4 linked regions of the Notamacropus eugenii genome follow. The protein of the gene in region 1 interacts with the protein of each later gene in a biochemical or structural test. Links are inferred from orthologs where the notes say so. Each region holds a gene or a part of one and is shown on either strand. Other genes may lie near its edges.

Region 1 (7,340 bases):
TTGTCATTTGGTTAAAGGCCCAAAAGTCATCTGAGGATGAAAAGTGAAAATCAGCTTTGGTGACCTCAAAGAAGCTTTCAGCTGTGATAGACGCTAGACTGTGGGGGACTGAGTTGCTAGTGAGAAAATAGAGGCATCAGGTACCCTCTCCTTTCCTTGTTTCTACAAGACTGGCTGTGAAGCAGAAGAAAATAAGGTGGTGGTAGCTGACTAGAGCAGAAGTCTATTACATTCAGGGCATCTAAGGCCACGAAGACCATCCAAGTTTGAACCTTATTTTGTGACATTCTCCAACGATGCTGAGCATCCAAGGAACAACAGAGGAAGGATTGGGTAGTGAAGGAAACTCGGGATAAGCCTTGACCTTCAGAAAGCAGGCCAGAAAATAGGAATATGTCTAAAATGTCCCATAGCTTAAGAGATCTAGTATGTACCTAAACTGTCACTGAATGTTACAGAGTTAGGATCTCATAGGTTCCTTATACCTCTGTGCCACTTGAGGTCAGGTCAACAGGCATTAAGTACCTTCTATGTGCCCTGTACTGTGCTACATGCTAAGGATACAAAGAGAAGCAAAAAAGTCCCTACTCTCAAGAAGCTCACATTCTAACGGGAGAGACAACATGCAAACAACCATGGGCAAAGAAGCTATATACAAGTTAAATTGGAAATAACTGCAGAGTGAAAGCACTAGCATTAAGGGAGGTTGGGAAAAACTTCTATGAGAACGGGCTTTTAATTGAAACTTAAGGAAAGCCAGGACCTAGGGATGAGGAGGGAACGAATTTCAGGCATGGGAAACAGCTAGTGACCAGGGTGTCCTATATAAGGAATAGCCAGAAAGTCACTGGAGGACAGTAAAGTATAAGATTAATAAGGTAATAAATGGTTTTGAAGGGCTTTAAAAGCCAAACAGAATTTTATATTTTATCTTGGAGATAATAGCGAAGACACTGGAGTTTTTTGAATTGAGGAGTGGCAGTCAGACCTTCACTTTAGGAAGATGAATTTGGCAGCTAAGTAGAGGATGGGCAGGAGCAAAGAAAGACTTGAGGCTGGGAGACCAAGCAGAAGGCTGTGGCAAGAGTTTAGGCATGAAGTGATGACACTACCCCAGCACAGTGGTAGTGTAAGAGGAGTGAAGGGGCCATGTATGGAGATATTTCGAAGGCAGAATTGGCAGGACCTGGCAAAATACTGGCTGGGGGAAAGGGGAAGATAACAGTATAGAGTCAAGGATGACAATTAGGTTATGGGCTCAGGTGACAGGGAGGAGAATGGTACCCTGGGCAGTACTAGTGGAAGAGAGAGCTTGAGAAGAAATAAGATGAGTGCAGTTTTGGACTGTTTAGTAAGCGATCTATGGGACATCAAGTTCAAGATGCCTAACAAACAGCCAGCTGGAAAAGTTACCAGTAGCTTCTTGTTTATGAAAAACGGGAAGCTTGAAAAAAAGATGTGGCTGAGCTATGTTCTTCATATTTTAAAATTCCCTAAGTTCAGCAGCCAGATTTGGCCAAAACCCATCCAAGTGCCTTTTAGCCAGAGACGTATATGATTTGAGATTAGTGACTTGGCAGGGAAAAGTTAGAGGATGGACAGGTTCTGCAAAAGTCTGGTTTATTCCCTTTAACTTTCATGAATGATTCAACATAAAGGGACTCACTAGAAGAACCAATTAGAACAAAATATTAATAATGGATAAAATAATGAATTAAGTAACCTGTTTCAGTGAGCCAGAAGTGCTACATATAGTCACTAAATTCAACAAATGTTTACTAAGCATCTAAGACAAGATCATACAGCTGAGAATACAATTTTTAAAAAATGAAAAATCCTTTGCCCCCAAAGAGCTTGAATTCTGCTGGGAACTGCCTGTGTACACAAGATGGGTAAACATCAGGTTGTAAAGTAATTTCAAGAGAACAGAATACTAGCAACTGGAGGGATCTGGAAAGGGCTTATTTAGGAGATAATTAGTATGTGGGCTGTGCTTTGAAGGAAGTTAAGGGTTCAGAGACAAGTGAGGAGGAAGATATCGGAGAGGAGTGCACAGAGAATGATGGAATGTCCTGTGTGAGGAACAGTCAGACCAGTTTGGAAGACTGTAGCCACTTATAATTGTAAAATCAGAAAGCAGCTAGGTGAGTCAGAAAGACATGAGTTTAAATCCGGCCTCAGATACTAGCTGTATGACCTTGGGCAAGTTATTTAACCTGTTTGCCTCAGCTTTCTCAACTACAAAATGAAGATACTTCCCAAGGTTGTTGTAATGATAAAATATTTGTAAAGCACTTAATGCCTGGCACATAGTAGGTGCTATAGAAGTGCTATTATTACTATTATTTAAAAGACCTGGAAAGGAAGCAAGATTGTGGAAGGCTTTACATGTGAATATTTTGTATTCTAGGGACTGTAGGAAGCCACTGAAAACTTTGGGGCAGGGCTAAGACATGGGCAGATCTGTTGAGTTTAGGGAGGTAAGAGACTGAAAGGGGCCAATTAGGAGGCTAAAACATAGGTCCTATGGTCCGGGCTGAGAGGTGATAGTGGCCTGAATTAAGTTAGAGACTGTATTTTTAGGAAAAATAAGGATGCAGATGTGGATTAAGAATCAAGACTGGCAACTGACTGGATACAGAATAGGGAAATGGGGTTGAAGGAAAAGGCAAAGGCAAGGATGACTTCAAGGTTGAGAACTTTAGGTAACTGAAAAGATGATTGTGCCAATAGACATGGGGAAATTCAGAGGCAGGATGGGTTTTTGGGGGGAAATAGGAATTCCACTTTTTTAAGTTTGATGTGACTATCTAACAACCAGGTGGAGATGTCCAGCAGCCAACTAAAATTTGGAAATCAAGTTCAGGAGAGGTTAGGAGTCATCTACCCAAAAATGATTACTAAACTCATGGGAGCTGATAAAAAAAAAAAAAAAACACATCAGCACCAAAGAACATAGGAATCAAGAAGATTGGTGTCTCAACTAAAATCCCATCTACAGGAAGCCTTTTCCAAACTATCTTAATTCTAGTGCCCTGTCTTTTAGTTATTATTTACCCTGTATATAGCTTGTTTGTACATATTCATTTGTTGTCTTCCCCATTAGAATGAGCTACTACTTTATATTATGGGGGAATTGAATGTTTTGTGCCTCATTCTGTACCCCTTGGCTTGGCGCACACACACTACCCGGCATAGGAGACACATAATGAATGTTTGTTAACTGACTTATGGTGGTCCTGGAGGGACATTTATTACGGATGTGGCTATTATGTGCTAGGCACAGAGGATACAAAGATAAAAGAAGAAAACAGTTCCAACCCTCATGAAGTTTATATTCTACTGGGATGAAAACTCTGTACTAAGAAAACACAGCAGTGACAGCAAGAAACCAGGGAAGACTGAGGTGAACCTTAAAAGGAAGACGATTTCTGTGAGGCAGAGAGGTGGACTGTATTCCAGGGATGGAGACTGACTTGTACAAACGCAGGGAGGCGGGCGTTGGGAGTAGCCAGTTGGGGGAAGAGCAGATCTGCAGAGTCCCTGAGGGGAGAGGTCAGACTCGCAGGCGGTACCCCTCCCACAAACCGTGGGGTACAGGCTTTTACCGGCCCCGCCCGCTCCCATCTCCCGTGACTACGGAAGCCAGCAAGATCGCGGCGGACCCCACGCCCTAAAGGCCTTGCTTCCTCTAGGACCTAGTGGCCTTTCAGGATGAGGTTACGGCCGTAGGGCCGGACCCCGGGGCTTCGGGATTCCACGGAACAGTCCCGGAAGGAGGCGGCCCGCCCCCAAAGACGAGGGACCGCCCGAGGCCCGGGGGCGCGGATGATTCAGCCCCATTGTGATGCAGAGAACGTGGAGGGGGAAGAATCGGCCCCAGCGTCGACTCTGCCCACACCGGCAGGCGCCCCCCGAGCCCCGCCGGCCCCTAGACGCCGTTCTGAGTGATGGGCCTGGAAGGAGGCCACGGCTCCGCAGCTTTCCTCCAAGCGCTGAGAGGCGGCCTGGCCACGCGCCCGGGGAAGCCGGCCGCGGGCGGGTCCTGAGCGGAGGCCCTGCCCGGCCAGCCGCCGTAGAGGAGGGGCTTCAGCGTGCCGCCCAAACCCCGTTCAGCTCCGCCAAAGTCTCACATTCCCTCCTCCGCTTTTCCCACCGGCTCCAAGCGGCATCGGGAAGTGTGGTGCGGGGAGGGTCATGTGACCCCCCCTACGTCACGTGGCACTTGGAGGAGGCGAAGGGGGCCCGTCTTCGCGTTCCTTGCGTCATCACGTCGCGCGGCGACGGCGGCGGCGACAACGACGGCGGCGGCGACGACGATAACCACGATTCTGGCGGCTCCGGACCCGGGAGGCGGCGGCGGCGGCTGTTCGGCGCCCACCGAGCCGCCTGCGGGCCCCGCACCCCACCCCACCCCCTCGGGCGGGGGGCCAGCCCTGCCTGGCTGGGTCGGGCGGGGTGCTGAGGTGAGTGGGGTTGGAGGAGCCACAGTTGAGCCTCCCCTGCCCTCTCCCCGCCCCGTCCGCGCGCCGCCGCCCTCATGTGGCCGGGGAGGGACCCGGAGGCGCGGAGCCCGCGGGAGGACGGGGCGGGACTGCCGGCCGCTGCGCCCTGGAGCCGCCGCCCCCTTCTCCCGGGACCGGCCTCCTTCTGGGGCTGGGAAGAGGGCCTTTTGTCATCCTGCCGCAAGTGAAAAGTGGACCGATGTTGAACCGCACGTTCCCACGACCCTTCCAGACCCAGCTGGGGAGGGGGGTCTGCTCGTGACGTGGGGGGGTGGCTTCTGTGAGCGCTGATTTTGGGTGTAGCGCAACCGGACGTGTTTTTAAATGGGAAGGCACTTCAGCGATCATTAGTCCGACCCCCTCATTGTACGGCCGATAAACCGAGAACCCCAGAAGTAACGCCTTGCCCTCACGGGACACAGGGAGCTGGCAAAGCTGATTCCACTTGTCTTTCCTTCTGATGGCAAGAGACAGGAATAAGCATTTATGTTCCTCTTACTGTGTGCCAGGGTCTGCGCTAAGCACTCTTTTTTTTTTAAACAAACGTCTCATTTGATCCTCACAGCCACTCGGTGGTTTTTTTCTTTTACAGTTGAGGAAACTGAGGCAAACAGGTTAAGTGACAGTTAGTGCTTGTGTAAGGCTGGATGGAAACTTGGCTTTCTCACCTGGGTCCAGTGGTATTTTACCGTTGTGCTGTCTAGCTGCCTCGTATGTGACATTTCTGTGCCCTCAGAGTGGTTGCACAGGCTCCTCCTCCCCACTTGTAGTGACACCCCGAACAGAAGAGAATCGACAGCACTCAATAACTCAAGGTCCCTTGATTTTGTAATGGTTTCTGCTTTGGTGATTTATGTTCCCATCTGTACAGTGGGAACAGTGATCACCTGCCCTGTACAGATGAGGTGTTGATTAACCTATTTTTTTAAAAAAAAAAAAGATAAGTAGTAATGAAAGAGTTGTCATAAGTATACTTCTGCTAATGAGGTGGCCTAGAATTGTCTTTGATATTGAAAAATGGTGGTTGAGAATAAGCTATCAAAGACTCCCCAATTTTACTTTAATCAATCATATTCTCTTGATCATTTGAAAAGCTTTAGACTGAAGAAAATGGGGCAAATTGTTGGTCTCCCCCATTCTTTCCCCCAAAGAGTATTTGTTTTTAAAAAATGGACTGATTCAAATTTAACCAGTCATCATATTTAATGAATTGTAACTGTGTTGTCAAACCATACGATTTTTTTATTTATGTAATGATGGCCATGAGTAACTGTTATTGAACCTGGAAGGTAATAGACTTTGCCATAAATCAAGTTGGTGGGTTTCCATGTGTTCAGGAGCCTCAGTTAAGCTCTTGGGTTGAATCCAGAGAGAAATTTTAATACAATATGATCTTATTATTTATTGATGCATTGTAACTTTGGTCAATTAATACCCAGTAACAGAGATGCCCTTTCAGAAAAAGAATCATAAAAGGTTAGTTTTGCAAGGGGCTGTAGAAATCATCTAATCAAAATTTTGTATTTCACAGTTGAGAGAACTAAAACTTGAAGAGGTGAAGAGACTCTTCCAAAGTTATACAAGTAGTTAACAGCAGAACCAGAGTCTGAACTAGTTTTTCTAATTTACAGGCGAAACTTCTTTCTACCACATTGCACTGTTTTACTCAAACCATTGCCCCAAGAACCCCTTAGTCAACAATTATTACTTAAATACTTCCTGTGTGCCAAGTACTAGACTAACTGCTGAGGATTTTAAAAAAGGCAAAAATATTTCCTGCCTTCAAGGAACCCACTATCTAATGGCAAACAAAACAAGCAAACAAATGAATATAAAAGGATATACAGGATAACTTGGAGATAATCTCAGAAGGCACTGGCATTAAGGAGAATTCCCAAAGTCTTTTTGAAGATGGGATTTTAGGTAAGACTTGAAGGGAACCAAGAGGTGGAGTCATAGAATCATTTTCTTAGAGCAAAGGTGTCAAAGAGTTGGCCCCAGCATTGCCGAAATCAGATTTACATGTAATTGGGAAATATCTAATAAAATTAACAAAAATACAATAAAATATAGGTAACATCTAAGTTATTATGCAGCAAGTAATAATAATTGAAGTTTCCTTGGCACTCTGAAGTTTGCAAAGCCCCATTACATAATCTCATTTGAGCTTCCTAGTACCTTATTGAAGTAGGTGCTTCAGTTATTCCCAGTTTACAAATGAGGAAAGTGAAGACCAGAGAGGTTAAGTGGCCTGTTTGTGGTTACCCAGCTCATATCAAAGGCAGGATTTGAACCCAGGACTAACTGATTCATAGTCCAGCACTATGAACTGAATTACTTTACCTCTAATATAGCCCATTTTGGTTCCAGCCTATTGCAAAATTTTTTGGTCTTTCATCCAGCATATACTTCCCTCTTGGCTTTACTTCATCTATGTATCTGATAAATGTTTCATCTCTATCTTTTAAAAAATTAATCTGTTGACCGTTGATTAAAAATTTCAAAGAGACTAGTGCTAAGGACCTTTTTTCAAGTTGACAACCAACGCTCCCTACCAACTGGAATCTTACCATTTAATTTACAAGGAATGCCATAAGAGATATTGTATAATATCATACACTAAAATACCAGGTACATTATTACCCTGATCAATTCTGACATGACTTGTTTTTAACTAACTTGTTCTGGTTCTTAATGATACCATTCTTACTACTCAGCCTACCAACTTATTCTTTTTTTAGGGTTTTGCCAGAGATCAACAGCAAGCTCATTAATAATTGAATTGTGTTAAATTTTGGGAATTTACCTTCTAGCCCTTTTTTTACTAGTCAGGGC
Region 2 (7,763 bases), on another chromosome or scaffold:
GCATTTTTCTTCTGCTTTAATTTATGTATACTTTCATCAATGCTCACATGTAGTCTTCTGTGTACTCACATTTCAAGGCCTACTCCAGCTAAAACACCCATGGTAAATATGCAAGATTAGATATCTCTACTATTAGAAATTTATGCATGAAATAATTCACTTGCCATTAAATCAGGAGATGGATAAATCCAATGACACTCTCCCTCAAGAACATGCAAAAATTTTCTCTATTCCAGTTCAGGTGCCAGTGGACCTTGGAACAACAAGTTTTCAAATAATGCATTTTCCAATATGCAATACTATCCACTATATTAACTAAATATTTTAAGATACTACTTACAAACTTCAGTTTGGAAATTGTAATTCAAAATCTTAGGGATTGGATATTGATATTCTTAACCAACATATTATTCAGAGTGGATTACATACAGTACCTTCTAAAAGTACAACAAATTGTTAAATGATAAGTTTAAGTTACAGATTAAGTTAATTAGTATTAAGTAAAGTTGTTTTGCCTCCATTTTTTCTACTATAAAAAATAAAAACAAAATAATACACTATTTTATTAATATACTCTCATAGTTCTTCCAAAGGAGAAAAAGCAAAGGAAGATTTTGGTTAGGTTCATTTAACTTATCAAATTTCAAATATACTTTAATAAAGATTATATAATCATTGGCAGTACCTCCAGAATGCCATGAAATACACCAGCACTTCTTAGTACTCAAAGTAAGATTCAAGACAATTTGCAATAGAAACCTAAACCTTCAAAAAGTAAATAAGCTATTAAAATGACTTACTATACTATAATTCTGTCAATTTGTTGACATCACCCTCATTTGTCTGAAACTATACCCCAAAGGAAGATCTTTTTAAAGGATATTCTGGGTTATTATGAAATGATCCAATTTTCAATAATGCAACAAGTAGTATGTATATGTCACCTCTTCCTTGTGGGGTTAAAGGACAAAAAAGGAAATAAAGATTATATGCTTTTTTTAATAAATCACACACATATGTATTGCATATGCCTTATAATACACATAATACACATAACACACTTGTATTGTACTGTGTATATTATTGTACTGTCTATGTCTATAAAAACATAAACTTGTTTGATACCAGTTATGTATTTGTCAGCTATTAATATTTTACTTTAATTCTGCTCATAACAGAATTACCTAACTTTGGTTTCACTGATGACTGTGCCTATAAAATTTAAATTTTTAAACACATCCCACCACTGCAAAATTTGTTTCTCCTAACTTTGTGACACAGCTAAGATTAACTGGTTCTTTCAAAAAACAACCTATGGCCCAAGAAGGACAGAAGAGTAGTATTACTATACAGTTTGGAGATACTAAAAGCAACATGTACTAAGGGAAGCTCCCTGGAGTAAATAAGCCCCAATTCAAGTTAATTCATACACTGTGCTCTGGGGGAACAAAAAAACAAAGTTGAAATAGTCCCTGCCCACAAGGAGCTTACATTAACAGGGGAGCCAACAAACACATGTATAATGTATGGATGTATATACATACACATACACGTGGTTAGTGGTTGTCCTTTGTTCTCAAAGAGGACCAAAATGACATCACCATGATAAAGTCAAGTTTCAAGGCTAATCAGAACAATATGAGCTCGAAATGCTTTACCACAGATTGGGCACAGATAGTCCCTGTGAAATGTAAGTATATAGATGTACATACATATTTAGGGACATAGAAAACATGCAAAGCAGAAGGAAGTGGGGTGTCCTGACTCTCAAAAAATCCCTAAGATTGCCAGACAAGGTTTCAATGTTTCTTTTGGAAACATTTATTTGTTATACTAATGAAGCTTCTGTGTAAAGTGGTTTCTAGGCTGTTCAAATAAGAAATCTGTGGGTGACCACATTTTAAATAGAATGATTATATCAAGGAATTTTTCTCTGGTGTTTTTCTTCTACTGATAACAAAGGCCTGAGTTCTGAAGGCATTACTACGAAATTATACCCGGACAAGGATCCCCAAAGAACTGTCGCTTTACAAGCAACTTCTAAGCGATCGGTTGCCACCCAAGGGGTATTCTACATGCTCGTCTCCACGACCAGCCCTCAGCAACACGAAGTTGATCCATCAACCCTCTTGTTCTCTCTCTCCCGCGGCCGAAACTGGGTTCCCTCTCCTCCAGCCCCTCTTCCTCCCCTTGGCCACGCCCACCCCCCCAACCCACACAGCCTCCCCGCTCGCCCCTCCCCCCCAGCGGGGCTCCGATACCAAATAAAGAGGCAAGTGGCCGGTGGCGGAGGCGGAGGCGCACACGCCCTGAGCCCGCTCCCCTGTCGCGGGCTGGCCAGCATGACACTGACAGTTTTCAGCTCTCGGGCTGTCCGGTGGGGAGGCGGCAAGAGCGCGCCCCAAAAGCAGCAGCTCTGGCGCCGGACCTACGGGTCCCTCCGGCCCACCCCCGGCCCCCACCCGCGGGGAGGGGATGCTCGCGTCAATCCCGCTCCATCTCCAGAAAGCTCCAAGAGTACAGAAAGGGCGGGGCTGCGAAGGACAACTCCCACCCCCGCCTCGGCCGGGGCTGGGAAGACCTCCACCACACACGCCCACAGCCCCTCGCCGCCCCCCCCACCTCGGCCCTTTCCTCTCCCCTCCCCCTGGCCAGGACGGCCCCGGGGTGCTGGGCATCAAAATGGAAAGAGGAGGAGGCGGGAGTGGGTCAGCCCCCGGCTCAAACCCCCCAGCTGCAACCGCCGCCACCTCCGCCTTTCTTTCTTTTAGGCCAACCGGTGCCGGGAGGCCAGAGGGAGAAGGAATACCCGGGCCCCCCCCACCCCGCTCCTTCCCCCGGCTCTACCTGCACGAAAGGGGCCGAGCCCGGCGCTGACGCCCGCCCGCCGCCGCCGCCGCGGTCGCTGGCAGCCTCCCCCCGCCCCGGCAGGCAAGCAGCCACTAGTGACAAGGCGCTCCAGCAGCCCCTTCCCATCAAACCCCGCGCCCCCGCCTTCCGACCAATCAGCAGCGCCGCCCCGCGCGCCGCGCTCCCTTGTCATGTGACGGGGGCGGGCAGTTGAGGCGGTTGATGCTGGCGGCGCCGGGGCGCCTGGGGCTAGTCGTCTCTCCGACGCCTCTTTTCTCGCTTTGACCGGACTCGAAGCGGCCTAAGCCATTTTTCCTGTTTCTCCCTGACCTCCCCGTACCACTCAAGGGGCGCTGCGGATGGAAATGACAACCTGTGCAGAGTCCTCTGGAAGCCCTACCCGCTGCCAGGGAGAAGAAGCCGAGAAGGCTGAATGGCAGGCCAGAGGTGCCCCCCAACCAGATGTCTCCCAGATGGCGGCGAGGCAGGCACCAGACTCTTCCCGGACAAAGGGACCCTGGCGTCCTTGAGCCTCCCGCTCTTCTTCTCTTCCAATGGAGGACCTTTCTGATTGAACGGCAGTGTGGACTAATGTGGCGGCAAATCCTCATTTCTAGGACCTTCAAATCGCAATTGATGTTAATCCCTCTTTTTCTGAGTACTTTTATTCCTTGGAGCCACAGCAGAACAGGGCAACATGGAATAACCAGTAAACATTAACGGCCTATCGTATACCAGACGCTGTGCTAAACGCCCGGATACAAAGAAAAACAAAAGAGGTCCCTTGCTCTCAGGGAGCTTATGGTTTAATGGGGAAGAAAGCATGCAAACAAATATGTACGAACAAGATGCACACAGGACAAATTGAAGATAATGAACAGAGAGAAGCATCCTAGGCATAGGGGATAGCCAGAGAAAATGCCCCCAGTAGACTCAGGAGATAGAATGCCTTGTTGGAGATATATTGAAGAGCATAGTATCCCAAAATCGCAGCAGAAAGAAGTATAAATTTTAAGAAGACTGGAAAGGTGAAAGGATCTAAACACCAAAACAGATTTTGTGTTTAATCCTTGTGGTAACAGGGAGCCGTTGGAGTTGAATGGGGGAAGGGGAACATGATCAGATCTGAGTTTTAAGAGGTTCACGTTGTCACCTAAATGGAGGACAGATTGGAGTGGGAAGACCAACCAGCAAATCAATGAAATAGTTCTGATGTGAGGTGATGAGAGCTTGTGTACCAGAGTGGTGACAGTGTCAGAGGTTAGGAAAGGGTGAATGCAAGAAATGTTATGAATGTAAAATTGACAGGCCTTAGCAACAGATTATGTTTGGAGGGTGAGAGAGAGAGAGAGAAGTCAATGATGATCCCTAGTTTGCAAGCTTGGCGAAAGGAGCAGTAGATTTGAAAACAGAATACTTGGCTTTGAGTTATGGTTCGGCCTAGGGATATAACCTTGAGTACTGTTCTAAACTCTTTATAAATATTATCTTACACAACAACCCTGGGAGGTAGGTGCTGTTATTATCCCCATTTTATATATGAGTAAACTGAAGCAAACAGATTAAATTACTTGCCAACATCACACAATTGTAAGCATTTGAGGCTGGATTTGAACTCAAGTCTTCCTGTCCCCAGGCCCAGGGATCTATTCACTGTACCACCTAACTGGCCCTGAGATCAAATTAGGCCAACATCTCATCACAAATTCCATGATGACTCTTGGTGACAGACACAAAGATCTTTTTATTCTGACTGAAAGTGTTGTTGGAGTCACTCTTATCTTGGGACTCTGGGGGGTCTGGCCAGCAGGTGAGGAAAACTGAAATCTGGATAGGCTGGAGAACACAAATAATGTAGGCTCCTCAAACTAAGCATGAGAAAATGAAATTCTTCCACCTCACCAATGTTCAGAGAAGTCATCAATTATGTTAATTTCAGCTATAAAATAGAGCCAGTATAGCTACCAAGCCACTCTGGGCAAAGTTTGAAAATTTAAGTCTCCTGTGCATTTATATTTACCAAAGGCTTTGATCCTTCACTGTAATACTGGGAAACTGATCTATCACAGAGCATGTACCATGGGAAGTAAAATGTTCTAACATTTGAAATATTTGCCTTCATATAAAACAATATTTCAAGTATCCCATGTTGTACAGCTGCCTTCCTTTCCCCTAGTCTTGGCTCTGCCAATAAGTTAAGTTACCTATTTGTAATAGTTGCAAGGACATCAGAAATGTCTTCCCCACCATGCTCAATTTTAATTTTATTCTTGATGCTTTTGTGTCTCTAGGGATGATGTAATATAGGAGAAAGAACATAAGATTCAGTTTCCAGAGAGCTGAATTCAAGTTTTAGTTCTGCCAGGCGCTAGCTATATAACCTGTAGTGTGTGACAGCCAGTTCATGCAGGCACTCAAGAGTCCATTGTTAAATTTTAGCTATAAATCAGGGTTTGGTTTGTTGTTTTGTTGATTATCTAGACTTAACAACATGATGGAGAAAATAACAGTGATGCAAATTAAACTTAAATGTTTTCCTGCCTACCTTTTTTTCCCCTTAGAGAGCCAATTGTTAAACATTTACAAACACACCTGCATATTACCTTGGGCAAGTCATTTTGTTTCTCAGCATCAATTTCCTTTTTTTTTTTTTAAGAAACAATGACTTAGACTTATAAAGATCCCCTTCAACTTGAACATTGTGTAGGCCCCTATAAATTGTAAATGTAACACATTTGGGAAAGGTCTCCTTAAGATACCAGCTCTCACTTTAGTGAGACTTGATTACTTAAATAAATTCTGAGAATATTATCTGAGAGTGCGACATAGGTACCTGATTAGGGGGAAAGGAACCTAAACTGCCTGGCAGAAACATACCAAAAATAATCTTTGGCTACTTGACAATAAAACATTGGACTGAGTGCCCAAAAAAACAAATTGTGGCTTTTAAGCCATACATTGAGCATCTTCAGTTTGCCTTGATTTGCATTAATTTATTAATCTGAGCCTGAAGCAAATGCACCAGAAATGTTCAACTAGTATTTCAGTGGAAAACTGAGAAAACATAGTATGCAGCTATATTAATTTCTAACAATTCCATAAATATTTATTCAGTTTACTTTTTGACATATTTTTTCTACTTTTTTATTACTGGAACACAAAACATTTTCAGAAACTTGGAATTTTGTCCTTCAAGCATTATTTGAAATTAAAAGGCAGCTTGACCTTCAGACATGTATTCCTCAATCTAGATTGTCAAAAAGAGTAAGGTATTTCTTTAAAAAAAAAAAAGGCTTTGAATGACATGTCCCGAAAAAAAAGGATAAGCAAGGTCATAATGGGTTTGGGGTCGTGTGCCTGAGAGCACCAAAAGGTGGCATTGCAGTGTTATCTAAGAAATAAGGATACCTTGAAGTGCCAAATAAGTTGTAGTACTAGCCTTTGTGTGTGCCTAGAGCTTACACATAAAACTAGGAGGATGTAGGTTTAGCTAATTCATAGTGAGATTTATTGTTAATAGGAGCCATAAGAGTACATGGTACTTTACAAAGCATAAAATATGGAAGACAAGGTTCTTGCCCTGAGGAGCTTACTAAAACATGTACAAGGCACTAGCTAACAGGAAAAATATTAAGTCATGGTGATTTATAAGGTGGTCAGAAATGGAAGAAGAAAAATATTTTAAGAAGTAGTAGAAAGGCAAAGTGCCTAGTGCATGAAAAACGAGCTTTGGTGCAAAGATTTGAAAGAAGATAGAATAAGAGAAAAGGGAAAAGAAAGGGTGAAAAGAAATGAGGACGAAGTGAAAATTGGAAAACTAAGACTTGAAGATAAGATGGAAGAAAAGCCACTTACAGAATTAGAGCCTAAAGCAGTACAATACATAGAAACAGAAGAGTGCTTGGTCTACTTGGCAACTGAAAATCCTAGCTATTTATCTCTTTCCTGATAAAACTGGCGGGAGTATTCCCAAGTAATAGACAACTAAGTCAAATCTCTTTCTGAGGCCTGTTATTTCCACTAAGTAATCTAAATGTTTAAATAAATTCTGACTTAACATAAAATAAGTATGTACTTATTTTATGTAACATAAGTGAAAACATGCTTAGGTTTTGAAGCTATTTTTAAGGGTTAGTATGTGTTTTTCTATATATAGAATCATTTTTATAAGATACTTAAACAAGCATATTCCTGAAGGTCAATTGTAGCAATATTGAAATAAAACTAAAATATACCTCTTTGCTTAGTGCCTATTTTTGTAATGTTTCCCAGATAAAGTTAATCTTCTTAATGCATTAATCTTAAATATAATGAATCTATAACTAGGTAGACCTCTGCATAGCAGTTTCTCTGTTAACAAGACATGGTTATGTCTAGTTAAACTCCACTAGGCCCTGACACAATTCAGTAGTTTTGGCTGTCTTGATAGTCAATTCATCTAGATGTAAAGTTTGTCTAATTGTAAAAAAATCATCCATTAAAATAAATAAGAAATCAAATTTACCAAGTCATAAACAGTTCAATTGTATTATGTAGACATGGTTCCAAGAAAAGAGGATTCATAAAATTAACCTTTCTTAAGAAGTTTACAAAAATAATTTAAAAGGGAATAATGACAGTTTATATTTAAAGTCATTTGAAAACCTTTGACTGATTTTAGACCATTAGTTTTTTTAAAATTTTGAAGAAAATCAATGACTTTTTTTTTATATGAGAACAACTTGAGTATTGTTTCAGGTTGTAGGTTAAAAGTTTTAATAGTATATTATGCCTAAGCGAAAGACATGAAAATTCCTAAAGCATTTCTCTAAACTGAGCTTAGCCATTATCCAGATATTGCTTCAATTCTACATTTCATTCTGCATTTGAAAATGTTAGCTAACAATATAAATTTGTACCTAAGTAATCAGAGA
Region 3 (6,938 bases), on another chromosome or scaffold:
GATAGTTAACTATGACTGACTTAGCTCTTCTCAGCAATACAATGAATCCAAGATAATTCCAAAAGACTCATGATGGAAAATGCTATCCACATTCAGAGAAAAGAACGATGGCATCTGAATGCAGATTGAAGCACACTATTTTCACTTTTGTGTGTGTGTGGCTTTTCTCTTTTGTTCTGTTTCTTCTTTTACAACATGACTAATGTGGAAATATTTACATGATTGCACATGTCTAACCTGTATCAGACTGCTTACAGTCTTGGGAAGAGGGTATGGGAGGGAGGAAGAAAAAAATTTGAAACTCAAAATCTTACAAAAAATGAATGTTGAAAATTATTTTTAAATGTAATTGGAAAAAATAAAATACCATTTACCAAAAAAAGCATTACAGAAAACATTTTTAAAACACATTTATCAATGCATTTGTCCCCAATCCTCTTCTCCAAAAAAGTTTAAAATTAAAAATGACATTAGTTCTCTCCTTTTAATTATCTTTTTTCCTAAGAATTTTCATTGTCAGTCACTCAGTAAAGATTTACTACATACCCACTCTGTGCTAGATATTGGGCTAAGTGTTGGGGAAAACAAAGATAAAAGACAGTCCTTGCTCTCAGTCTAACGGGGGAGACAACATGCAAACCATGTCCAAAGAAGCTCCGTATACAAGATAAACTGAAAATAACCTACAAAGGGAAGGCACTAGAAAAGGTTTCCTGTAGAAGGTGGAATTTTAGTTGGGACTTGAAGGAAGCCAGGAGACAGAAATGAGGTGAAGAGCATGCCAGGCACGGTAGAGAGCCAGTGAAAATGCCCTGGGAGGTGGAGTGTCTCATGCAAGGAAACCAATGTCACTGGATTGGACAGAGAAGGGGGAGAAGACTGGTAAGGAAGCAGCTCCAAGTTATAAAGTGCTTTGAAGTACTTTAGAGTTCATACTCTGGAAGTGACAAGATAGGACTTTATCCTATCCAAAATCCTGGCATGTCTGACACCAAAGCAGATATATGAACAGAGATGAGAAAGCAAAAGCAGAACATGGCTAGACAGGGGAAGGAGACAGATGGGACAAATAATTTTCAGAACAAAATTTACAATTCTCTAGGAGACGGTCTCATATCTTACTAGTGCTGCTTATGTGCATAATAAAAAAGTTTGCTGCTATTAAAAAAAACTCTAATCAAACTTATTTTTCAGCAAAATGTCCCTTGTCAGCTCACCTGTGGCCAGGTAAATGGGATGACATTGGGCAGGGCTCCACGCCTGCGTGGCTGTTCGGTCCACTTCTTTTAGCTTCATCCTGCTGTATAACGACATTATAGAGGCAGCATTACAAGGCCAGAAACCTCCGACCATCCCTACAGTGCCTCAGGCTGCCTCACAAGTAAACAATAACCAGCAACATTAAATAGAGGGAACTGACCAATTCAGCAGACTTTTTTTCAATTCAGACTAGTAATTTTATCGTTGTAGATAGCTCTCAGGAAGGGAACTCCCTCAAGCAAAGCAAATCTGCACCAGCTCTACCAGCTCTGCAGTGGTGGGGCTAGAAAACTGCCAGGGGCACTTAGAGGTGAAGGGACTTAGGTCTTAATCCCCACAGCATTAGCAGCCCGGCAAGCCGACGAACAGAGGCTAATTTCAACGATGCAGGGTTCACACCTTCCCGGAGAAAAGTCAAAAATCCCCTAAAAGGAAGAGGCCAGTTCGCAAGAAGGATAAACATCCCGACAAACCAGCTACTGCATCAAACGTCCATGGCAGTAGTTTTGCTACTAAGTATCTTTCAGAGGAAACAAGCCCTTAAGTATACTAATTCAGAAATGACACCTGACAAGCTGTCACTGACCATAAAGCCGCCCACCAGGACACTTTCTAAGGCCAAGGGAGGCCAGACTTAGAAATGCAAACCAACCAACCCAGGAAAGAGAACTGGGACCCGGACGCGGGAGAACTTCCACGTACTTTATTCCCACTATTATTTTTTTTAAGAAAATCCAAACTTCGTAGAAAGTGGATCCTGGATCTTTTTCATTTCCCCCCGCCCCGCATGGGTCTCCATCCCTCCTCCTTCCCTCCATGCCCGGTTCTACGGTCTGATGACCCGACCAAGGTCTGTCGGTCCGTCTGTCCCCCCCGCCCCCATCCCAGAAAGCACAGCTCCGTGGAAGCGTGCGGGACTTCTCCGCACCACCAAACCTGGCTCCTCCTGCATCTGCACCCCGGGGCTCAGGAGGATCCCCCAAGTTTGGAGCATGCAATGCTGGAGTCCCGGGCTTCCCTAGTTCGGGGGGCTGCGGAGGCGCCTCCCAAGCCCCCGGGCTCACTCACCGGCACCCCGTGGCTCAACTTGGGTCCCCCTTCACAACACAGAGAGTTCGCTGCGGGGGGCCGGGGCCCAGGAGCGCAGGCAGGAGGAGGAGCCGGGGATCAAAGGTCCCTGACAGCCCCGAGCCCCAGAGTCGCTGCGCCTGGAAGGGGCCGGAGGACAAACAGGGCGAGCCGGACACTTGGGTTCCGGCCTGGGAATGGGGGGACCCGAGACCCCGGCGGCCGCCCCGCCACCCTGCCTCAGTTTCCTCCTGTGCAGTTCCTCCCCCGAGGAGGTGAGAGGATGCAGTCGCAAGCACCAGAGAGGTCGCGGGGGGAGGAGGAGGAGAACCGGGCACCTGCGGCGGTGCAAAGGCGCGGGGGCTGGCCCCGGCCTCCGGCTCCGTACGCACCTGAGAGCCGAGGGGTCTCTCCCTGGGGCTCCGCCGGGGCTGGGCTCGTAGCTCTCGTTGCTTCGCCGCCGGCTCCTAGCCCGCCGCGGACAAGGAGGAGTAGGCTCCCGGGATGGACGGAGGTGACGGGGGTACTGGGGCGTCTGTCAGGCCGTCGGTCAGTCAGTCAGTCGAGAGCCACTCCTTCAGACGCCGCCGCCGTTGCTGCTGCCCCTCCCCCCGACCGGTGAACTTCTCCAACGTGGCAGCCGCGGCCCGGCCCCGCCCCGCGAACACTTCCGGGAGCAAAGGGGGTGGGAGGCTCGGGGTGGAAGAAGAAAGGTTTTCCCGGGCGCAGGCGCGCATCCAGCCACGGGGCGCTCCTTCCTGGCGCAGGCGCAGACGTTGCCACGGGAGGCGGTGCTTCTTGCTTGTGCAGGGGCGTCAGAAAACGTTACTTCCGATATCCGGCGGAAGGAGAGGAAATCCCGCCTGTGACGTGCTCCGTTCAGTTGCCCTACTGCGAGGCAGCTACGTATCCTCTCCGGAGTCCTCCTGCTCCCGGGGTCAGGGTCACAGGTCATGGCGCAGAGCTGCAGGCCGCAGCCCGGCCCGGAATACACGGCTCCGGCTTGTGACGGAACCACCAGAAGAGCGTCCGGACTAGAGCGAGGAGGTCACCGCCCACCCCGCAGCCTAGGCCGGTGTGGGAAGGGGCAGGTCCCGGGGCCCGCAGGCGGGATCAGGAGACTTGGGCCGCTTAGGTCAGAGCCGGGAGCGACGGGCCGAGCCAGCGAGGCCGGGGCCCGACGGGCGCTCTAAACCCAGATTGCATTTGACTGACACGTGGGGCCCGAAGCGCTTTCCGTCATCCGCAGCAGGGTCGACGGGAAGGCGTATTTTTACCGAATTGCAAGTTTGTTAATGAGTATTAAGTGTCTACAATGTCAGGAACCGCTGAGCAGGGAGGACGGTGAGGCAGAAACCCGGCCCCAGCGCTCAGGGACCATGCACTCTCCTCGAAGTCCGTGCAGAAGTTAGGGAGGGGGAAGGTGTAAAGGATTAGCAAAGGCTTCCTTTAAGAGGGATTTTTCCGCGACTGGAAGCCGGGTGAGCTAGAGGCAGAGGTCAGGAGAGTGCACCAGGCCGCAAGCCAATCGCTTAAAGCACCAGCCTCAATTTAACTAAAATAATGGCTAAAGTGCTAGCTGTCATATGAAGGGCTTTAAATGCTAAGTGCAATTTTATACTTGATCCAAGTGGTAATAGCCACTGAAGTTTTAATGTAGCACCTGGGCTTTAGGAAAATCACTGATAACTGACTGGAAAATGACTGGATTGGGCAGAAGTGAGGTAGGGTTACCAATTGAAATGTCAAGAGCAGTGATGAGAATGGGAATATTTAATACAAGATTTTACGAAGCAGGCCCGCACAACATCCAGCCCCTGGGACACACCAAAGGATTTCAAGCAACGTGAAAAATGTGAACTTGCCCTTCGAATTGTGTCGAATGACCCATAATAACCAACTGGTGAGTCTGTCCCTACTCTAACCTGTCTGCAGCCCAAAGTTTCTAAATTGTGCAGTGCTGTTCTAACGGTAGATGACGGACTGGATATGTGGAGAGCTTATGAAGCCTCAGATGGTCATACCTTGGGTGACTTTTGAGATACCTGAGATGGGAATAGGTGATAAATAGGATAACAGGCTAAGCTCAACAAGAGAATGTAAGGGTAGATATAAAAATCTTGAAATTAGATCCTGACTAATTATAGTGGCTATATTGTAGCGTGAAGGCTTTTGGGGGTTGGGAGAGCTTACCTAACCTATCTACGTAGAAATACCTTACAAAGTTGAAACACCGTGAAGCTGAGGACCATATCATTGATTTATCTAATAACTAGCAGAGTTCACTGCGTTTATATCCAATATACAAAAAAACCCCAAATTCCTAATTTTCTCAAATCATGAGGATCTTTATTGGCCTTATCTCCCATCTTGTACATGTACTAGATCTTGTACATTCTGCATATACAAATGATCTTTTTAGTACCAGCAGTCAGCTTTAAAATTTATGTCATTAATTACATGTCATATTCTAAGCACCAAGGATACAAAAAATGTGAAAACAAGATGGTTCCTACTTAAGTTTGTTGGTGAAATAAAACAGAGAGGCAGGAAGGGGGTGTGGGAGGAGAACTGGTGTGTAGGTGGGGAGGACTGAAGTGAGCTAGGAGGCAAAAATAAGCCCTTATCTATTATGAATGGAAAGTGTGGTAGAGTCTGCTATTAAGTCATTTATGGAATCTTATAATCCTGTCAGATATTTTGAACAGGTTTAGGGATAGCATACAGGTTAAATTTTGAATCTAACCTGTCAGTCATTTTGAGCAGAATTTAACTCCGAACAATTTAAATCATATTCCGTTTGCTTTCACAGAATTTTAGAATTGGAAGTGGCCATTTAGCCCAACCCATGTTATCCCAACTTGCTTAACCTCTCAAAAGGGGATGGGGAAGCCCATCACTGTCCATCTCACCCAATTTGCAAGTGACCTCTCCTGTCTGCAAACTTTAAGAATAAAGAAATGTAAACTAAGGAGGGACACATCAGTACAGGGTGTTGTGAAGCAATCAAAAAATCATTTTAAAGTTTAATTTCTTTTTGAATACTTTAATTTTCATTTTGTGTCTGCTGAAGATGGCATATGTTGAAGTCAACTGCTCACTTGGGGAGTTAGTTGAACTCAAATCCACAACAGCTGTAAGAGGAACGTTCACTTTCTGTTTATAAGGAAGCTTCGTACGTAAATTTAATTAAATGGATGAAAAAATTTTTAAAAAACTTGTTCAATTTTAGATATGCTCATATCTTGGAGATGCTGAATAAGTGAAGTAACTATGGCTGAAACGAACATTCCAAAAACCACACTGGGCTGAACTTTAACGCTGAAACTCCACAAGCACAAGATCCTTTGAGTCACAACCTGCAAACTGACAAAGATGACAAATGATCAATATTGAAGGGACTGTGCTACAATGGGCCCACTTCTGCACTGTTGGCCAAGCTATAAATCGATAACATTAATAAAATCAATTTTTATCAGTTTGGAATCAAGCAAGTAAAGCTGCTAATGGTCCATTCTCTTTGACCAGGAGATTGAACCCCAAAAGTATATTAAAAAGTCCCCACTTAAGCCAAAATATTTACGTAAGCACTTTTTCTGATAGGGAAGAGTCAAAAACAAAGTGATATAAGTAAGAGCAAAGAAAGCCATATAGAACGATATGGATCAGAGTTGCAGATACATACTATTGTCCCTCAGTTAGCAATCTAGATTTAAAGAAATGACATCTATAAAGCTTACCTTTTTCTGTAACAGCATAGATTAATAGAGCTGGAAGGGACCTTAGGTCCATCTGGTCAGATTTCATTTTAGAGGCCAAGGAGAGTGACTTGGCCAAAGTTACGCTGTAGCGACAAAGCCCAGGTGTGTTAACTGCATTGCCTTCCAGAACTGGTCATTTTCATGAAGTTATATTCTCCAGGTTTATTCCTAGGAAAACAACTCAGATCAGTATGTACAAAAATAAAACAACTAGTTACTAAGAGAGCAAGGATGACCAAACCAGAGTTTGCAAAAACTATTGTTTCCAAAGCAGCTTCCACACTCCCCCCCCCCTCTTATACTGCTTTCTAGTTCTAAGGTACTTGACATACAGATCTTAATTAACCAAGGTGATTTTACTCTGCAGTGACTAGTACTAACCTCAAAAACAAAACTTTTGTTTCAAAAGACCTGGTATACATCCTGGTTCTATGACCCTGGACAACTCACTTAAGTTCACTCAGTGACCCAAGGTACTTTTTTTGGTTGGCAAGTTGCAGAAGATGCCAACCAACATTAGTGGAGGTTCTTTCCTCATTTGGGACTTAGTTCCATACTACCTACGTACGGAACAGTTTCCTAATACCCTCAGCCAAAGGAACAAGCTGTTATAAATAAGGAGCCCTCAGGTTCCTGCATGCATATGGCCTAGACTACAGTACAATGTCTAACCTCGGCCTGGGATGCACTCTCCCTTTACCACCACCTTCAAACTTGAAGCCCTAAGAGGTGTCCCATATTTCCTGTTACTCAGATGCTCTCCCAACAGTCTGGTAACTCTCAAATAAGCGTACAGCTAAGATTTGGCTCTTTACCTCAGCTGAGGTTTTTGACTAATTAGTTGGTATG
Region 4 (7,079 bases), on another chromosome or scaffold:
CTAAACCTATAAGAATGAATTAAATATGGAAATTAAATATTAAATATGGAAACCCCAACAGTAATTTCATTCATCTTATCTTCCATTAGGATTCGTCCCCAAAATGACTGTGCTTGATTAAGACGCCCCTCTATAATGAGGTGCTCTATTGGTGCCACTGGATATCCCCAATCATTTCTGTAGCAACTTAACCCTGGAGCTTCAGCAGTTTCTATAGCAACCAAGTTCCCTTACAAGTGCCACATGGATGTCCTCCAAAACCTCTAACAACTTTCTCCATCAATGTTACCTGAGAATCCCACTGGTTCCTTCTGTGACCTGATCAGGATCTCTAAGAGTTACTAAACATCAGGGCCTAAATGTTCTTCTTGACTCTCTTTAAGATTTGTTTCTGCAGTTAAACTCTTTACTTTTCCCTTAATATTCAAATATACTAACAATTTTTCCAAATACTTTCCAATTTTTGTACATCTAGAACTTAAGTCAATGGACTACAACTCAATTTATTAAGTATGTTTACAATGTCAAGCATTGCTGAACAATGGAGAAAAATACAGAAAAATAAGACAATCCCTGCTCTTGAGTATGTCACACTCAAATAGTGGAAGACAATGCTTACAGGCACTAAATGACACAAATAAAGTATCTCAAAATGGAGACCGCTACAGTAATTAGGAAACTGTCTAAAAAATAAAACGAGCAAAAATATGTTTCTATCATACCACATATTCATTTCAGTCAATCCCATAATTATCTGCACAATATACTTTGGTATTTTCAACTCCTCACTCAGAAACTAAAACTAGGGAAATAACCAGACTAAAAGTTAAGCTTGCAGTTTGAAATCTCACTAAATCACACTTACCATTGGATAATGCTTGTTGAAGTTCACTGTCAGATATTACTCCACTCCTGTCTTTATCAACCCTATGGAAATAATTGAAATAATTACAGTGATGACTAAAAATGAAAGAAATATAACAGAACTGCTTTATACTGCCAAAGATAAGTGAGCTCTTAAATCCTAAAAGTTTACTTTTCTTCAGAATATAAGTTCAAGTTTTTAATTCTAGCACACTCCCACTTCCTGCTTCAAACTATTTATCAACTACTTTCTCCCAACTTTTCCACTCTGTCCTGGTTTCAGTTCAGAAGACTACACTCTCTTTGGCTACTTCAAAAGCAAAAATGTTTAACTCTACTTGTATATCTATACACAGAGGTAAGTAAATAAAAATTTCAGTCAGATGTGATGGGGCAGGTCCTATAATCCCAGCTACCAGGAAGCAGATCTCTTAAACTCAGGAGTTTGGAGCATATTAGGTGTCTATACTGAGTCACAAACAGAGGTCCAGGCAACAAAAGAAGGTCAAAGATCACTTGCTGGATGAGTCCTGGGATCATCCTGGGAGCAGTCCCTTTATTCCAGTCTGAGCTGGACCCAGTCTTTAAATCTATCTATCTACTTACTTATCTATCTATGTATCTCCATCGACAGAGAGAATAGACTGTTTTGGAAATTCTTTCATTGGTTTCTAGTCATCATACTTTCTAAATCACCATTCTAGATCTAGGAGCGAATCAGGCTCACCACTTCCAATTTTCCCCAACCTCTGGCTTTCCCCCTTCATTCATCTAGTAATTCAGTGTTTGGTAAATCCAAAGACTATAGCCACAGGAAAGAGAACTCACTATTTGACAAAAATCCATGAAAAGAAAGTAGGCAGTCTCCTGGCTCTCTACCTGCTTCCTTGTGGATCCCATCACACCGACCACATCTCCTTTCCCAAACCCTCATTACTTAAAACATCTTCATTTTCAGACACAATCAGTGACAACCAGTCCCTGACAATCCCCCCTTCGGACAAGAGGAAACATTCCTACACCAAGAGACCTAAAGATGATGGGAGCCAGTGACCGGACGTGTTTCTCTATTTCCTTCCTAGCCCTTGGGCACGCAGCTCGGAGAAGGAAGGCTTTCCTCCTCTCCATTTAGCCCTGCCTCTCAGCCACGTTACCCACAGCTGAGCAGAGAGCCTGGTGCAGGGCCATGTCTGCAGTGAGCGGGCTGCCGGGCAGACCACCTCTGGGCCCTCTCCAGGAGATCACCTCTAGCCAGCACTCCAGCTCCACCACCCAAGCTCCCACGACCTGGGAAGCCTCGGGACTGAGGTCCTGGATCTCAGGGCAATCCATACGTGGGTCGGAGGCCAAGACGCTGAGCCTAAGAACTCAGGGGACCCCTGTGAAATGAGGGGACTGGACGGGGCGGCCTCAAAGGTCACTTCCACCGGGCACTGGATGGCCGTGGGAGGCCGGGAAGCGGGCACGACCCCAGGGATCCGCGCTCTCCGTGGGCACGCGTGGGGCTCGGGGGCAGACGCCAAGTCTGGACCGCGGGAGCAGCCCGGCTCTCGGGTCTCAGTTTCCTCGTCTGTAACGCTGTTTATAAGAGGGGGGCAGAGCCGGGGGGCACCCGCTAGGATCCCGTGCCCGAGGCGGGTGCTGGGGAAGGGCAGCGGAGGAGCGGGGCCGCGGTGCACCGAGGACCCGACTCCCGCCCCCCGCCTCCTCTCCGTCCAGCCCGGGGTGGGGGCGCTCGTGGGAAGAAGGGGAAACCCGGGGCTGGGGCCAGCGCATCCTCACCGCTGAAAGACGTTCCACAGGAAACTCTGGTCCGGCAGGGACGCGGCAGCAGCGGGGCCGGGGCCGGAGCCGCCCCCGGCGGCCGTCCGGTAGTGGTAAGTGGACATGGGCCGGTCGAAGGGAGGGTAAGAGGAGAAGCGGCGGAGCGCGAACTGGAGAGAATGGCTCAGCGGGGTTGCTCCACTTCCGCTTTCTTTCGCGGGGGCGGAGGAGCCGGAAGAAAGGAAGGTCACTTCCGGGCTAATGGTCACAGCCGGGAAGAGGGGCGGGGCATCACGTGGCCGAGGCTCTCCAGTGCCCACGCGAGGGCCTCGTTGCCCGGCAACGGAAGGGCGCTAGGCTGGGGCGGCCTCCCGGCCCCGGGGGAAGGAGGGTGCAGAGGGCCTCGGGTTCAGGGGCCTAGCAGGGCGTGTCTGGCTCTAGGAAGGACTCCTTTTTCCGAGTCCTGGATCGAGCTGCGACTCCTCCTTGGCGTTCCCCTCCCGGGGCCTCAGTTTCCTGGTGTGTGACCGAAGCGGGGCGGGGGTCGGAAGCCCCGGACTCCCGGGGACCTCTAGGGCCCTGCAGCCCTACCTTCACCCGTCCGAAGGCTAAGCATGCCCCCACTTTGGAAATCCGACTCTCAGCCCCTAGAGAAAGGAGTCTAAGGCTGAGGAGCAGCAGGGCCGAGTGTTCCGGACCACTCCTCCTGCCCCACCCCAGCCCGCTCAGGGTCACGGCTGGGGGTATTTGCTCCGGGGCCGGTCCTTGGGATCCTCGGGTAAGGAGGGGGACACCTGAAGTGGAGCTCGCGGGAGTCCCCGAGGTAGAACCGGTTTTCTGGCTCCGGGAGGCACTTTGGGAATTCTGGTCCACCTTCCCGCCCCGCCCCCACGCCTGCTTACCCCGCGGGGAAGATGCAGGGGCAGCCTTCAGAGTGGCAGAGGCCAAAGCTCGTGAGCAGGGGGTCTCCCCAGCCGGGAGCGCCCTGTTCGGTGAGGTGCAGAGGGGAGGACCGTGCCTGGCGAACCTTCACCCGCCACCCTAACGTTGAGTCTCTTGTTCCGCCATGCTTCACAGCAATGCCCAGGCTTCTGGCCTGGATGCTAGGTGTGGAAGACTGCAGTAGTGTCCCCGACGTTCAGGCTAGTTTTAATGAGTCTGATCACTTTGATTGTCTGGTGGAATATCGTTTGGGGACGAGAGTTGGGAACATCCCGGGAAACAGAGGTGATGTAGAGACACAGTTATTGGACAAAGATTAAAAAGCAAATTAAGAAATTTCAGTTTATTGTAAAAGCAAATTCAGACTCCAAAGATATGCCTAGATAATGCAAGATCATTTTTAGCAGCCTCCAAAAGATTAAAGGCGAAAGTGAAGGGCAGGGGGACGAGGGTGCTGAATGGCCATAAACATGCAGACTAAACAAAATAATATGGAAGTGACACTTCCTGAAAACCCCATTCTTACAGGGCCAAAGAAATTCTTGCTAGAGAAAAGCTTGGAGTGCCCGTCTAGTCTGACCTTCCCAACTGACTTGTCCAAGGTCACATTGGGGAGTTTCAGTGGGACATCTAGGATTCAAATCCAGCCTTCCAAGTCCAAATCCAGTGCTTTTCCCTTTGGGGCACAGCACCACAATTCCCTGGGGCCTTTTCCAGATAACTTGCTAACTCATACCAAAAAGGAGTGATGATAGTTATTCTTTACTAAAAGTAAGGGTTTTATCACTTAGGAATGCCTTTCTTTTACTCGCTATCACTTTACCATTGTACCATCCTAGTTCAAAAGCTGCGTCTTGGGAAGTTAAAAAAAAAACCAAAATCTTCTTTTAGCTTGTAGGTACAATTCAGTCCAAAAACAGGCAAGATTACTAAGTGGCACAGCTGATACAGAAAAAAGTCTGCTTTGTCAGAGGATGTGCTAGAAGATCTTCAAGATGTCTCTGTAGGATTCTGTGATTTTAAGAATTAAGCAAAATGTAGAAGTGGGTATTTTTTGTTCCTTTTAAGAGGACCTAATATGCATTTTTCAAATGGACCTGCTCCTAAGTATGTCTTTTAGGTTTAAAGAACTCACATGCCTAGTGGGCACTCAATAAATGCTTGTTGATTGGGTGTGAGTGGGTATGTCCTGTAAGAGCAGCAATGCTCCCCACATGGAATAACTATACTTTCTGTTTATAATCACTCTCCACCTGCCATTTATAACTTTTCTTTCAGGCTGATGAACAGTTGTGCTAAAAATGAACCATGCCCTTTGGATAGCTGATTTTGGCACGGCAAGGTGGTCTGTTTTGGTGTTTCTCATCGCTAGGAGCTGTGTTTGAGTGAATCTTCAGAGTTCTTCTACTTGCCATCTTCACAATGGAAGCTCACCGTATTATGTGGCTCCCAGAGTGCTCAGATGACATCATCCTTTGCAAACATCTAACCCAAAGGAATTAATTAAGTACAGCTACTATGCTGATTGATTGGCTGTATCCCCAACTTTACTGTAGGTGATTTTGCTTTTCCGTTTAATGCTGAGTATTGTTCATAATACAAACCTTCTCATGTACTTGATAGGGAACACACTCTGAATACCTATGTGCCACTTGAACATTTACAAAACATTTTCCTCACAACTGACTGTTTATTAGATTAATAAGGACTTCTTCATATTAAAGGCAAGAAAACAGAGGCCATTTAGTGACTTGCCAAGAGTCTCATAGTAGTAAGCTGGGGAGCAAAGACTTAAACTGACATCCTCTCTCCAAATCTAGTGCTCATGAAGTAAAACAATCTCCTGTTATAATTGAAGGCTCTTAAACTGTGATCAGTAGATACTGTTTCAAAATGCTAATATCTGGATAATCTTTGGGGAACACTTGCAAGGAGGCACCCCATTCCCTCCTCTATGACTGCCAACATACCCTGCCTTCCTTGAGCTTAGTGGTCCTTCTACCTGTGCCCCCTTCCCTACCCCAGCCCAACACACCCAAGTGAACTACAAGCTTTGGAGATACTAAGTTGAAAAACCAGAGCTCTTAGTATTTCAAGTAACATCTAGACAGAAGATATGGATGGAAAAATATCTCAGCAAGGGAGATGTTTTTTTCTCTTAAGAGTAAAGTGGAAAGTTACCTCCTTTGAACTGGAGGAAAAATGCAAAAGTCAGAGAAGTTTTTGTATTCTCAACATAGATACTCTATGTTAGCTTTCTCAGAGGGATGGAGCTGGATCCTGTGGGGCATGACTAAAGGAGCAGCTTGTGAAACAAGGCAATCATAGAAATCATTCTCTGAGCCCAAGTACCAACAGTTGGCAACTGTCCTCAAGTACCAGAGCTTATTGACTTGGGACACTTGCCTTTACCTTTAACAAAATAATTTGCTTAGTATAAAAAAGTACTGAAGGTTGCAGTTATTTTTCACTTTTATTTAACATTACTGCATTTCTGAATTTCAATGTGACATTATCACAAGGTTACCATACTGTCACTATGTATTGAACAGAAAGATATGCCTAATAGGAGACATGTAAGATGATTTTAAACAGCTTCTGAAATATTAAAGAATGCAAAGATAATTTAATATATTTTATTTAAGAAACATGCCTGGTTTTATCACTTCAAAAAATAAAAGCATAGGAAAGCTTAATATTTCCTAGTTGCATTTTTTCACTTTACAGATGAGCCATTAGACAGATAATCTGAGTCAATCATGAGTACTGTTTTTTAACCCTGAACAAATTAACAGAATTTTTTAAAAAGATCATTATGCTACATACATATGCCAGACTCAATGAAGCATTATTATACATAATTACACAAATTGATCTATAAAGCTGGTGAACTCAATAAGAGCGAATAGCAGGTGGAACTGTGGCACAGTCAGCTTCATTTAAAGTTTTGTCGATTACAGGCCTATATTCCAAAGAAACCTAAAAAAAGGAGAGTGAGACGTCAGCTTACACTCCAAACAATATATTATTCATTTCATTAAAAATTTTAAAAAATGTTTCTAAAAAGAGGTCTGTCCTAGTTACTAATCCCCCCAAAATTCTTACCTTCATTATCAACTAATTATATGGAAAATAAAAGGTGCCCAATAAATATATGTTGATTGACCAATAAAGAAGAAATTCCATTCAGATCTCACAGACTTTACATATGAAAATTTCCCATACAACTACCCTTCAACATTCAGTTTTTTCTGTATTCAACTGCTATTAGTTGAACTATTTCAATTAATAATATTTTCAATCTGGAGTAATGATATCCTGTAAGAATAATGTTCAACAGCCTTCTCTTAGCACTATTTTTGCTGAGTGTCTGATTTTTAAAATCTATTCCTTATGAAATTCTTTTATTGGAGTCCTATACTTACACCCTCATCATGGTGAAGATGACCCCATGTTCCTGAAATCAAGGTTAGTAAATCTCAAATTCTGGCAAATTCAACAGAGTTGGA

What was found.
Region 2: the proteins of KLHL12 (region 1) and LNPK form a complex in vitro, tested with the Homo sapiens proteins (2 studies listed by BioGRID, with this or other methods). The link is inferred for Notamacropus eugenii from reciprocal best matches to the Homo sapiens genes KLHL12 and LNPK.
Region 3: of the proteins of KLHL12 (region 1) and SEC31A, one has a biochemical effect on the other in vitro, tested with the Homo sapiens proteins (3 studies listed by BioGRID, with this or other methods). The link is inferred for Notamacropus eugenii from reciprocal best matches to the Homo sapiens genes KLHL12 and SEC31A.
Region 4: the proteins of KLHL12 (region 1) and PDCD6 form a complex in vitro, tested with the Homo sapiens proteins (2 studies listed by BioGRID). The link is inferred for Notamacropus eugenii from reciprocal best matches to the Homo sapiens genes KLHL12 and PDCD6.

Annotation. Positions count from the first base shown.
Region 1 is NC_092873.1:437,285,073-437,292,412, forward strand, and holds the start of KLHL12 (kelch-like protein 12), read left to right. Parts: upstream 1-4,335; 5' UTR 4,336-4,466; intron 4,467-4,868; exon of another isoform or gene 4,869-5,320; intron 5,321-6,338; exon of another isoform or gene 6,339-6,428; intron 6,429-7,340. UniProt on the Homo sapiens protein: Substrate-specific adapter of a BCR (BTB-CUL3-RBX1) E3 ubiquitin ligase complex that acts as a negative regulator of Wnt signaling pathway and ER-Golgi transport.
Region 2 is NC_092876.1:238,536,211-238,543,973, forward strand, and holds the start of LNPK (endoplasmic reticulum junction formation protein lunapark), read right to left. Parts: upstream 3,011-7,763; 5' UTR 2,848-3,010; intron 254-2,847; exon of another isoform or gene 165-253; intron 1-164. UniProt on the Homo sapiens protein: Endoplasmic reticulum (ER)-shaping membrane protein that plays a role in determining ER morphology. Involved in the stabilization of nascent three-way ER tubular junctions within the ER network.
Region 3 is NC_092878.1:150,497,457-150,504,394, forward strand, and holds the start of SEC31A (protein transport protein Sec31A), read right to left. Parts: upstream 3,015-6,938; 5' UTR 2,721-3,014; intron 1,301-2,720; 5' UTR 1,297-1,300; coding exon 1,218-1,296; intron 1-1,217. UniProt on the Homo sapiens protein: Component of the coat protein complex II (COPII) which promotes the formation of transport vesicles from the endoplasmic reticulum (ER).
Region 4 is NC_092875.1:342,955,342-342,962,420, reverse strand, and holds the start of PDCD6 (programmed cell death protein 6), read right to left. Parts: upstream 3,011-7,079; 5' UTR 2,754-3,010; coding exon 2,647-2,753; intron 928-2,646; coding exon 866-927; intron 1-865. Other genes in the region: SDHA (succinate dehydrogenase [ubiquinone] flavoprotein subunit, mitochondrial), read right to left, coding at 6,463-6,549. UniProt on the Homo sapiens protein: Calcium sensor that plays a key role in processes such as endoplasmic reticulum (ER)-Golgi vesicular transport, endosomal biogenesis or membrane repair.